Linked DNA regions of Schizosaccharomyces pombe. The main gene of each other region encodes a partner of the protein of the gene in region 2 in a complex. Each region holds a gene or a part of one and is shown on either strand. Other genes may lie near its edges. The genes, in order: pla1 and red1. A codon is read from its position in the direction of its gene.

Region 1 (3,923 bases), on a different chromosome or scaffold from region 2:
CCATTTTTTGCACAACTCGTAAAATTCTTGGGTAGGCCAAGAAATATCAAGTCTTTTAATTGGATGACCTAATAAAGTTAGCATAATTAATTTCAAAATGTAGTATCTTGCCTTTCTTCTTTTCAAGTTCAAGCCCTATATAACATGTTGTAGTGTAAACAGGAAAAATTTGTTTTTCACCATTTTCAGAACCATCAGCTTTACTCTCAGTATTGTCGGCTTTCTCTTCATTAACTGTATCGTTGGCTAATTTTTCATGATCCGTAGATTCATATGCGACTTCAAGAGTAACGCCGCTAGCTACTTGTTGAGCTTCTTCTTCACTGGAGCAATTATACACTTTATCAAATCCTTTATTGAAAGGATGTGCCAAAGCAATAGCATCAACAAGCTCCAGTCTAGTAACCAAATGACGAAGCTTAGATTCAACCAAACCTGCCCACTTCAATTGAGCTTCAGCTGTCTTAGCAGCTGCTGTGATCGTAAGATAATGCTTATAACGATGAAAAAAGTCGTGTTTTTGAAACAAAGCTGACCAGGGAAGAGCCTTGACCATTATTTGGTCAGCAATTTCTCCAGCCCGAACCATTTCGCGAAGGATAATTGTTTGGGTGGATAAAGTAATGTTATGAGTTGCACACATTGATGGATAAGCCGGGGTTATAATTGGCATACGGTGAGCTTTGTCGGATGGATAAAGTTTTGGATTCCAGATACGTACTTGTAAGGGGCCATCTTCAATGGGCTTTAACAATATTGGTTGAGGCCAATTCCATTGATGAAGAATACGAAAAAATTTAGCAACAATCACAGAAGATACTGCATTCGGATATAGTTGGCAAATTCGAGCTACCATCATGGCCCAGGCGACTCCTCCAGGAAATCCTACGACATTAGCGTATATTGCACGACGTTGAGCCCAAAACTTTATGGCTCTTAAAGCATGCTTAAAAACAGCACGATTAGGGACAAGCTGCAGAATCTGATCCGTAACACGTGTACCATTCAAACTTAGCACACATCTTTCTTCAACACCCTTTAATAAGTTATTATCAGACAATTCGAGGTCGCGGGGAACACGCGGAACTGAAAGACGAGCAAAAATTAAATCTATACTTATTCCCAAAAATTTAAACTTAATAATAGGAACATAGGCGTCAGGTACAGCAGCAAGGTCAGTTACCTCTTCTCTTTCTCGAAGCATAGGTTCCAAGTCCTGAAAGAAATTGTCGCGAGAAACATGCTTGGGTACAACGACTAGGGTATCTATGTCTGATCCAGGTCCATAAACGCCCAGTCTATAACTTCCGTACGTAAAAATTTTCCCCCCTGCCTCATTAGCCATCTTTTCGTTCATATGTTTGGCAAGTGATACTTTCTTTACAAATTCTGTCGTTATTTGTTGCAACTCATCAAGAACCTTTACTCTTTTTTCAGATTCGGCAGGAGATTCAAACAAGTTTTGGTTCTTCAACTCATTAATTAAAGCCGTATTCAAAGCATTTTCCTGTTCAGTAGCAGGTGCAGTACTAATTGGCGGTGTAATACCCCATTGCTTGGTAGTCATGCTTTGAAAACAAAAATTGGAGTCTTGAAAGGTAGCTGTTTTAAATTATCCTAACCTTTAAAAACAACTGGTTTAAAGCGTACTAATGCTAAATGTGTAGATCTGGTTAGCATTCGTTTAGGATTTAAGGCATAAATACGCAATTTCACAAAGTGCGTTATCTTATTATAATGTCAAAAAATTCATTTACAGTTGCACTGAGACATTTATTTCGATTAAATCAAATTTAATTTATCTGGTAAATTATACAATTGTTGCTGTTTATCATATATATCTTGACAGTGCACTATGTTCATTATCTGACAAACCGATTGCTCCTGGTTTTGTATTTAAAAGCTTACCCGTTAAATTCCATCCTTCAGATATGCATTTTTTTTGGTTGAATAAACTAGCGACTTGAAATGTAAAAATAATTTATGTTGCTGAGAAGTGTAAATGATTCAGAATCCACATCTATTTATTGGATTTACCGCAGTTGTAGGGAAACTGTCGAATTATTGATGACAAGTTCTCCAAAACTCTTTGCAAACAAGTTTCAATGTATGAAATTGATTCCAAACAGTAAAGAATTATTATGCTCATAAAGATTATCATAGCCATGTTTCGAGAGTTTAGATAAGCAGCCGAAATCTATGCAAACTGGCCTGCAAAAGACAACAAATCTTCGTCATTAAGATATTGGGCCATAATTTGAATTCCCATTGGAAGCCCATTGTTCAAAGTACCGAAAGGTATGCTAACGGATGGTATTCCAGCCATATTCGCTGGAACTAACATAGTATCTGAAAGATGACTATAAGAGGACGGGGTTTCAATGGGTTGACTGGAATTAAAAAAAGAAGGGGTAACTATGAAATCGATGTCACCCCTGGGATCATCGACAGAAAAGGAAGGTAGAAAAAAGTTTTTGTTGAATTCCAGCTGTATGGCTCGGCGAACGTATCGAGCCTTAGAAAACAAATCAGAGGAATTCCTATTTGTAAATATTAGTAACTACTTAGTAAATCAGTTATATCATACATTCTTGCTAGTGAATAAGCGCCTAGCAGTAGCCTCTTTTTCACTTCGTCTCCTAAAAAAAAAGAGCGTGCAGTAGATGAAATTATTTCCTCTTCGAACTTTTCATCTAAACAATTGCCAAATGCGATAGTATTATATTTAGCCAAATTTGAAGTCGCTTCTGCATAAGCCATTGTGGAATATACACTGTTAGCGTATAATGAAATTGGAAGCTGTATTTCTTGGACAAGATAACCATTTGATTTCAGAAGAGATATGAATTCATTCCACTTATCTAAAACGTTTGGATGAGTCTCAGAAACATTCCAGTCAATTGGAATTCCTATTTTAATTGGCTTCCGCGATAATTTTTTGTGCTGCTCTTTAACAAAATAACGAGCTTCTTTAGTTAAACAGGTTGAGTCATTTATGTCGGGATGGTCTAAAACATTAAATACTTTGGTAACGCCCTTAACATTATTTGCAGCGATACCCACTGTGTCAAAACTATTGGCAAAGGCAAGCATTCCATATCTCGAAATCCTGCCGAAAGATGGTTTAAAACCTACACAACCTACGTAAGCAGCAGGTAGACGGATTGATCCTCCTGTGTCTGAACCAACTGATGCATAACATATATCCGCCGCGATTGCAGCAGCAGCTCCTCCCGAGCTGCCCCCAACATCGTAATTACTATCCTTAACAACAGGATTAACAGTGCGACCAAAAAGATTGTTTTCGCTCTTGACTCCCATTGCAAACTCATCCATATTTGTTTTACCAAGAATAATACCGCCGGCTTTCTTCAAGCTTTCGACAATTGACGCATCAAACGGAGAATTGTAGTCTAGTTAAACCGCAATTAGTAACTGAAATATATTCTTATTGTCTACCCTTCAACATATTAGAGGCTGCCGTGGTTAAATTTGTCTTCGTGCAAATATTTTCCTTTACTGTAATCAGTTTCCATTTTAACGGAAGCTTCTTTTCCAGTGGTAATTTACTAATTTCAACAAATGAATCATATAGATATTCGGCACTATTTATTGAAGTTAAAGACTTAATTTTCGCATCATTTAGAATGATACTAGCATATTTAGCTGCAACTTCTTTTAATAAATTGTTATATTTATTACTCATTCGACCAATCAATCATTGGACGTTAACTTCGTGCAAATAATGTATTACCCAACTTGTTGTATAGTTGAATAAAGTAGTGAGCTATTATCGGTATGACACCTAAGACTTTTTCTGAGGGGATCAACTTTTTATTGTTTGTAAAGCTCACTATTTAGTTTTTTAAATAAGTTAATTATGCAAAAAAGCAATGAAATAAAATGACTTTAATCTTACAAAT
Region 2 (3,923 bases):
GTCTTTCTGAGCCAAGGTGCCTCTAATATCTGCTCAGTTGTATCAGAATTCGTAGTTGCAGCACTAGACGAGGCTCCTGACGAGCTAATAGAAGGTCCAGCCTCCACAAAATCGGCTTTGGAACTAAGATCAACGACTTTTTCAAAGGTATCCAAGTGTGTTTTAGATTTGTTGTCAACCGCAGCTACAGGGACAGATGGAAGTTTCATATCGGCGGCAGAAGTTGGCGATCTATACGGTTTTTTATTAGACTCAAGCCGTAAGATCAACTTTGTCATTCGCCGTATTTCCTCTTCTTTATTGCGAAGAAGCGCCAAGTAATCTGAACGAGACATAGTAAGACCATTTTCACTATTTGAGGGGGGCTTTTCTAAATTAGATTGTTCTATCTTCGAATTCGAAAAGTCATCTCCATCATCATCGGAATCAAATTCAATAACTACATTTGGAGTCGAGGAGCCAAAAGGCTTCGAAGAAGATAGCCAATCGTCCTGCTTCAAAAGTGGTAAAGATATAAGATTTTTTCTTTCAGGAAGGACGGTAGGTGTACCATTATCGCCAGGTAATATATGTGTGTCACTAAGATTACTGTCAATCTTACGAAGTTTAGCAGACCTAGCAGCTTTGTCTGCAGATAGTGTCAGACTTCCTTGGGAGCTAGCAGAAGAGGAATCCAGTCCGAGCTTTAAAAATAAAGTATGAACAACCGAAGGCTCGATGCCCTCAGCAATAAAATCGTTAAAGCGCACTCCTACTTCAAACAACTGACTCACAGCTTTCTCTGCTTCCTTTTGATTAGTAGTCTTGGAATAATTTGCATCAGAATTTTTAGATGTTGAAAGAAAAGGTGATTTTTCTGATTTTGCCTTTTCACTCTTTTGATAAGAAGTGTCGGATGATAAAGCCAATGGTCGGCTAGTAGCGGTATCTTTAAGAGCCCGGTTTTCTTTAAATGACTGGGAAGTATTAGAAGAATCCGATGTTTCAGAAGACTTCGCCTTATTTCGGTTGTTGAATGAATTCTCAGATGACCGTTTGCGCTTCGAAAAGGTTTTGTTTGAGGAGGCGGTTTGAGGAAAGAAAGGAACTGTATTTGGTCCAAACATCAAAGCTGGAGGAAGCATAAAAGGTGCGCCAAATGGAAAAAAATTCGCGTTAGTTCCAGGAAATCTAGTGTGTTAGTTAGATAAGACACCTGATGGGTTGAATGTATTCAAGTTCGAAAAAAAAAAAGGAAATTTTACAAATTGTCATTCTCGTAATCCCAAAGTTGGAGTTAAACCGTACAGAACAGCATAACTAGCGGAGAATAGCTCCGTAGAAAAGATAAATAAGCTGCACTGACAGGTTTAATCAAATGCCATGCTTACCTATCAAAAGGAGGCAACTGAGGAATTTGCTCAGGAAAGGTTGGTACTTTCATTGGCGGAACTAAACTGTTAAAAAAACGAATTCATTTAAACGGTGAGAAAATTGAAAAGATGGATATCAAAACATAATTTCCAAATACATATAAAAGGCTTCTGCCAGCTTTATTTTTCTCTCTTTAAAAAAAAAAAAGCCACGCATATAAATAGAGATATGAAATGTTCTAAACGAATGCAAGCAATCGTCGAGGAAAACTCAATAAAATGCGAACAAGCCTATAAAAACAAAAAGTCTCGTTTCACAATATATTTGTGTAAATTTCCATCTCTAATCTACCTTACCTGAATTTGATTGATCTATAACAGGATCGTCTTCGCTAATTTCGCCATCTTCTTTGTCAGAGTCATTACTCTCATCTTCTTCATTCTTCTTTTTTGATTCTAAAGCCTTTTTTCGCAACTCATCGAGATTTATTGACCGGGACATTTATTTACAGCTAAAACTGGGTTAGTAGTGCCAAATTTCAACAGCAGATGTTTTGTTTGTAGTACCAGTTAAGACAGTGAAACGCGAAAAACATTAAATATTATTGCACATAAAGTTTTTTCACCTCAGAGCATGTTATTCCCTAATAAAGATATTGATGGTTGAATACTTTCTTATTTGTTCTAATGAACTGTCTGAAATATGCACTAAGACTCTTTATTTACAAAACATTCGGAATTAGTCTATTGAACAGGTATACTGAATGTAGCAAATATATTTTCAAACAATTTTAAAAAGTAACACAAGAACAGCTAATATGTTCAGCCTTATTGGCTTGCTCATACGAAAAGTGTAGCGGTGATTCAAAGCTTTCGCATCCAATTATCTTTTGCTAGTTTACAGCACAAATTTACGCGAAGGTGAAATAACATTTTTGAGTTATCAAATTATAGCGGGAAATCTGCTTTTAATGGACTAGTCAGTAATTTAGTAGCGGCCGCCTTGTCTCATAAATAGAAACATAGAACATCTGGAGAAGTTCAAGAAAAATAGCGAAAATGAGAAAACTGTGTTTTAAACCTTTGTCCAATAATGATAATGTTTTCTACTAGCATATCCTTCTATGAGCACATGAGAAAAAGAAATATTCTTTCGCTCAGTTCGGTTTTAACGTTGGAACAGTCTTTGGCCTTTATTAAAAACTTGAAGTTCATAAACTAAAAACAACAAAAACATTGTGCTTTATGCAAATTTCGTGTGCAATAAAAGTTCGGGTATCCGTTTATGATGTTTTAGCACGAAAGCCGACTATTGACAGTAACACTGGTAATAGCTCTTTTTACTAAAAACCCTCATCGAAAAGGTAGTTCCGTATCTGATTACAAGGCCGATCGTGCAAAAATACTAAAGACCGAGGAATATGTAATCGTGCAGTTTTATAACATACTCTTCCGTTGCTTAAGTTATTAATCTGAATTTAGTCTGTTTAATCCGTTACATGAAAAATTTAGCCTTTCAGGAGCTTGAAGAAATGATTTAAGATCAAAACGCTTTCATGTAATCACCTAACAAAAATGCTAGATTTTGTTATTATTTATTATTGAAATTCCCCCATAAACCTCGAAATTTTAAGACCGGTCAAGTTATCATTTGAGGCTAACAGGCGGCCTTCAAGCATTTAAAACGAAAGACCGTATTCATAGATTATTTATTGGTAATCTCAATGAGGCTAGTACCTTTGATCTGTTACTACTTGCGAACATACTATTTGTCTCCAAATGTTTGCTGTAGTGTATGCTCGCGCTCCCTCAATCGTTCAGAAAGTTCAAAGCAATGCAATTTCAATTCAGAGTTTACTTTTTCCAATTTTCGAACTCGCTTTGTTTCTCTCATCAACTGCTCTTGAAAAACTGACCGCAGTGACTTTTCGGATTTTGCGTTCTTACCTGGCATAAACTCCTCACAAGGAATTTGTTTTTCTTCTAAGAAGATTTCCTTGTAAGCTTCAAGTTCTAAAATAACTTTTTCAAGATCTTCTTGCTTCATCTGAAGTTCATTTGCTAACATGCGTTTGGATTCGGCCAAATAAGTATACGCATTTTCCAATGAATCGTATACCATCCCCTCCTTGAAGTGCAGTTCAGGTACTACAGCATTATTCTGTAAGTCAATGTTCAATGACTCATCCTTTTGGACAACAATATTTCTCACGTCAACATTTTCTCCCAATAATTTTCTGTTTTTATCCATATCGCGCAGAGCTATGTCTGACATCTCTTTAAATACGGAAACTTTCTCACCAGATGGGGACTTAGTGATTGAGATTTTTGTGTTGTTGGAAATAGAAGATGAATCATTAAAGCTTTTGACTAATTTACTAACCCTTCCTGAGATAGAAGTATTATTTTCGCTTTCTTGCCCTAGTTGCTCAAAGTCTGAACAAGAAGGTGATCTGCAATCAGTATTTACACCGATAAGCTTATCTTCAAGTAACGACTGAAGAGTAATTTTATAATTCCTTAACTCGATTTCCTTCGTTTGGTATTCTTGATCCTTTTGTACAAACTTTT

What was found.
Region 1: the proteins of red1 (region 2) and pla1 are in contact, whole or in part, in a crystal structure (PDB 7Q72), measured with the Schizosaccharomyces pombe proteins. Residues at the interface, in NP_594850.2 of Schizosaccharomyces pombe: Lys294 (codon at 497), Trp298 (codon at 485), Leu299 (codon at 482), Ser301 (codon at 476), Ser302 (codon at 473), Lys303 (codon at 470), Pro304 (codon at 467), Phe305 (codon at 464), Gly306 (codon at 461), Ser307 (codon at 458), Ser308 (codon at 455), Thr309 (codon at 452), Pro310 (codon at 449), Asn311 (codon at 446), Val312 (codon at 443), Val313 (codon at 440), Ile314 (codon at 437), Glu315 (codon at 434), Phe316 (codon at 431), Asp317 (codon at 428), Gly322 (codon at 413); in NP_595362.1 of Schizosaccharomyces pombe: Lys358 (codon at 496), His359 (codon at 493), Leu361 (codon at 487), Ala366 (codon at 472), Ala367 (codon at 469), Lys368 (codon at 466), Thr369 (codon at 463), Glu416 (codon at 322), Ala419 (codon at 313), Gln420 (codon at 310), Ala423 (codon at 301), Ser424 (codon at 298), Phe468 (codon at 166), Val470 (codon at 160), Leu481 (codon at 127), Lys483 (codon at 121), Ile489, Lys490, Arg491, Leu492, Asp493, Ile494, Ser495, Thr498, Tyr502, Lys506, Asp513, Thr514, Leu515, Met516.

Annotation. Positions count from the first base shown.
Region 1 is NC_003423.3:926,633-930,555, reverse strand, and holds the start of pla1 (mRNA cleavage and polyadenylation specificity factor poly(A) polymerase Pla1), read right to left. Parts: upstream 1,672-3,923; 5' UTR 1,568-1,671; coding exon 112-1,567; intron 69-111; coding exon 1-68. Other genes in the region: gta1 (glutamyl-tRNA amidotransferase alpha subunit), read right to left, coding at 2,198-2,540, 2,588-3,413, 3,460-3,706. UniProt on the Schizosaccharomyces pombe protein: Polymerase that creates the 3'-poly(A) tail of mRNA's. May acquire specificity through interaction with a cleavage and polyadenylation factor (CF I).
Region 2 is NC_003424.3:5,072,019-5,075,941, forward strand, and holds the start of red1 (protein Red1), read right to left. Parts: upstream 1,881-3,923; 5' UTR 1,855-1,880; coding exon 1,710-1,854; exon of another isoform or gene 1,432-1,709; coding exon 1,371-1,431; intron 1,171-1,370; coding exon 1-1,170. Other genes in the region: protein mcp3, read right to left, coding at 3,118-3,923. UniProt on the Schizosaccharomyces pombe protein: Promotes the exosome-mediated degradation of mRNAs containing a DSR (determinant of selective removal) signal sequence from mitotic cells.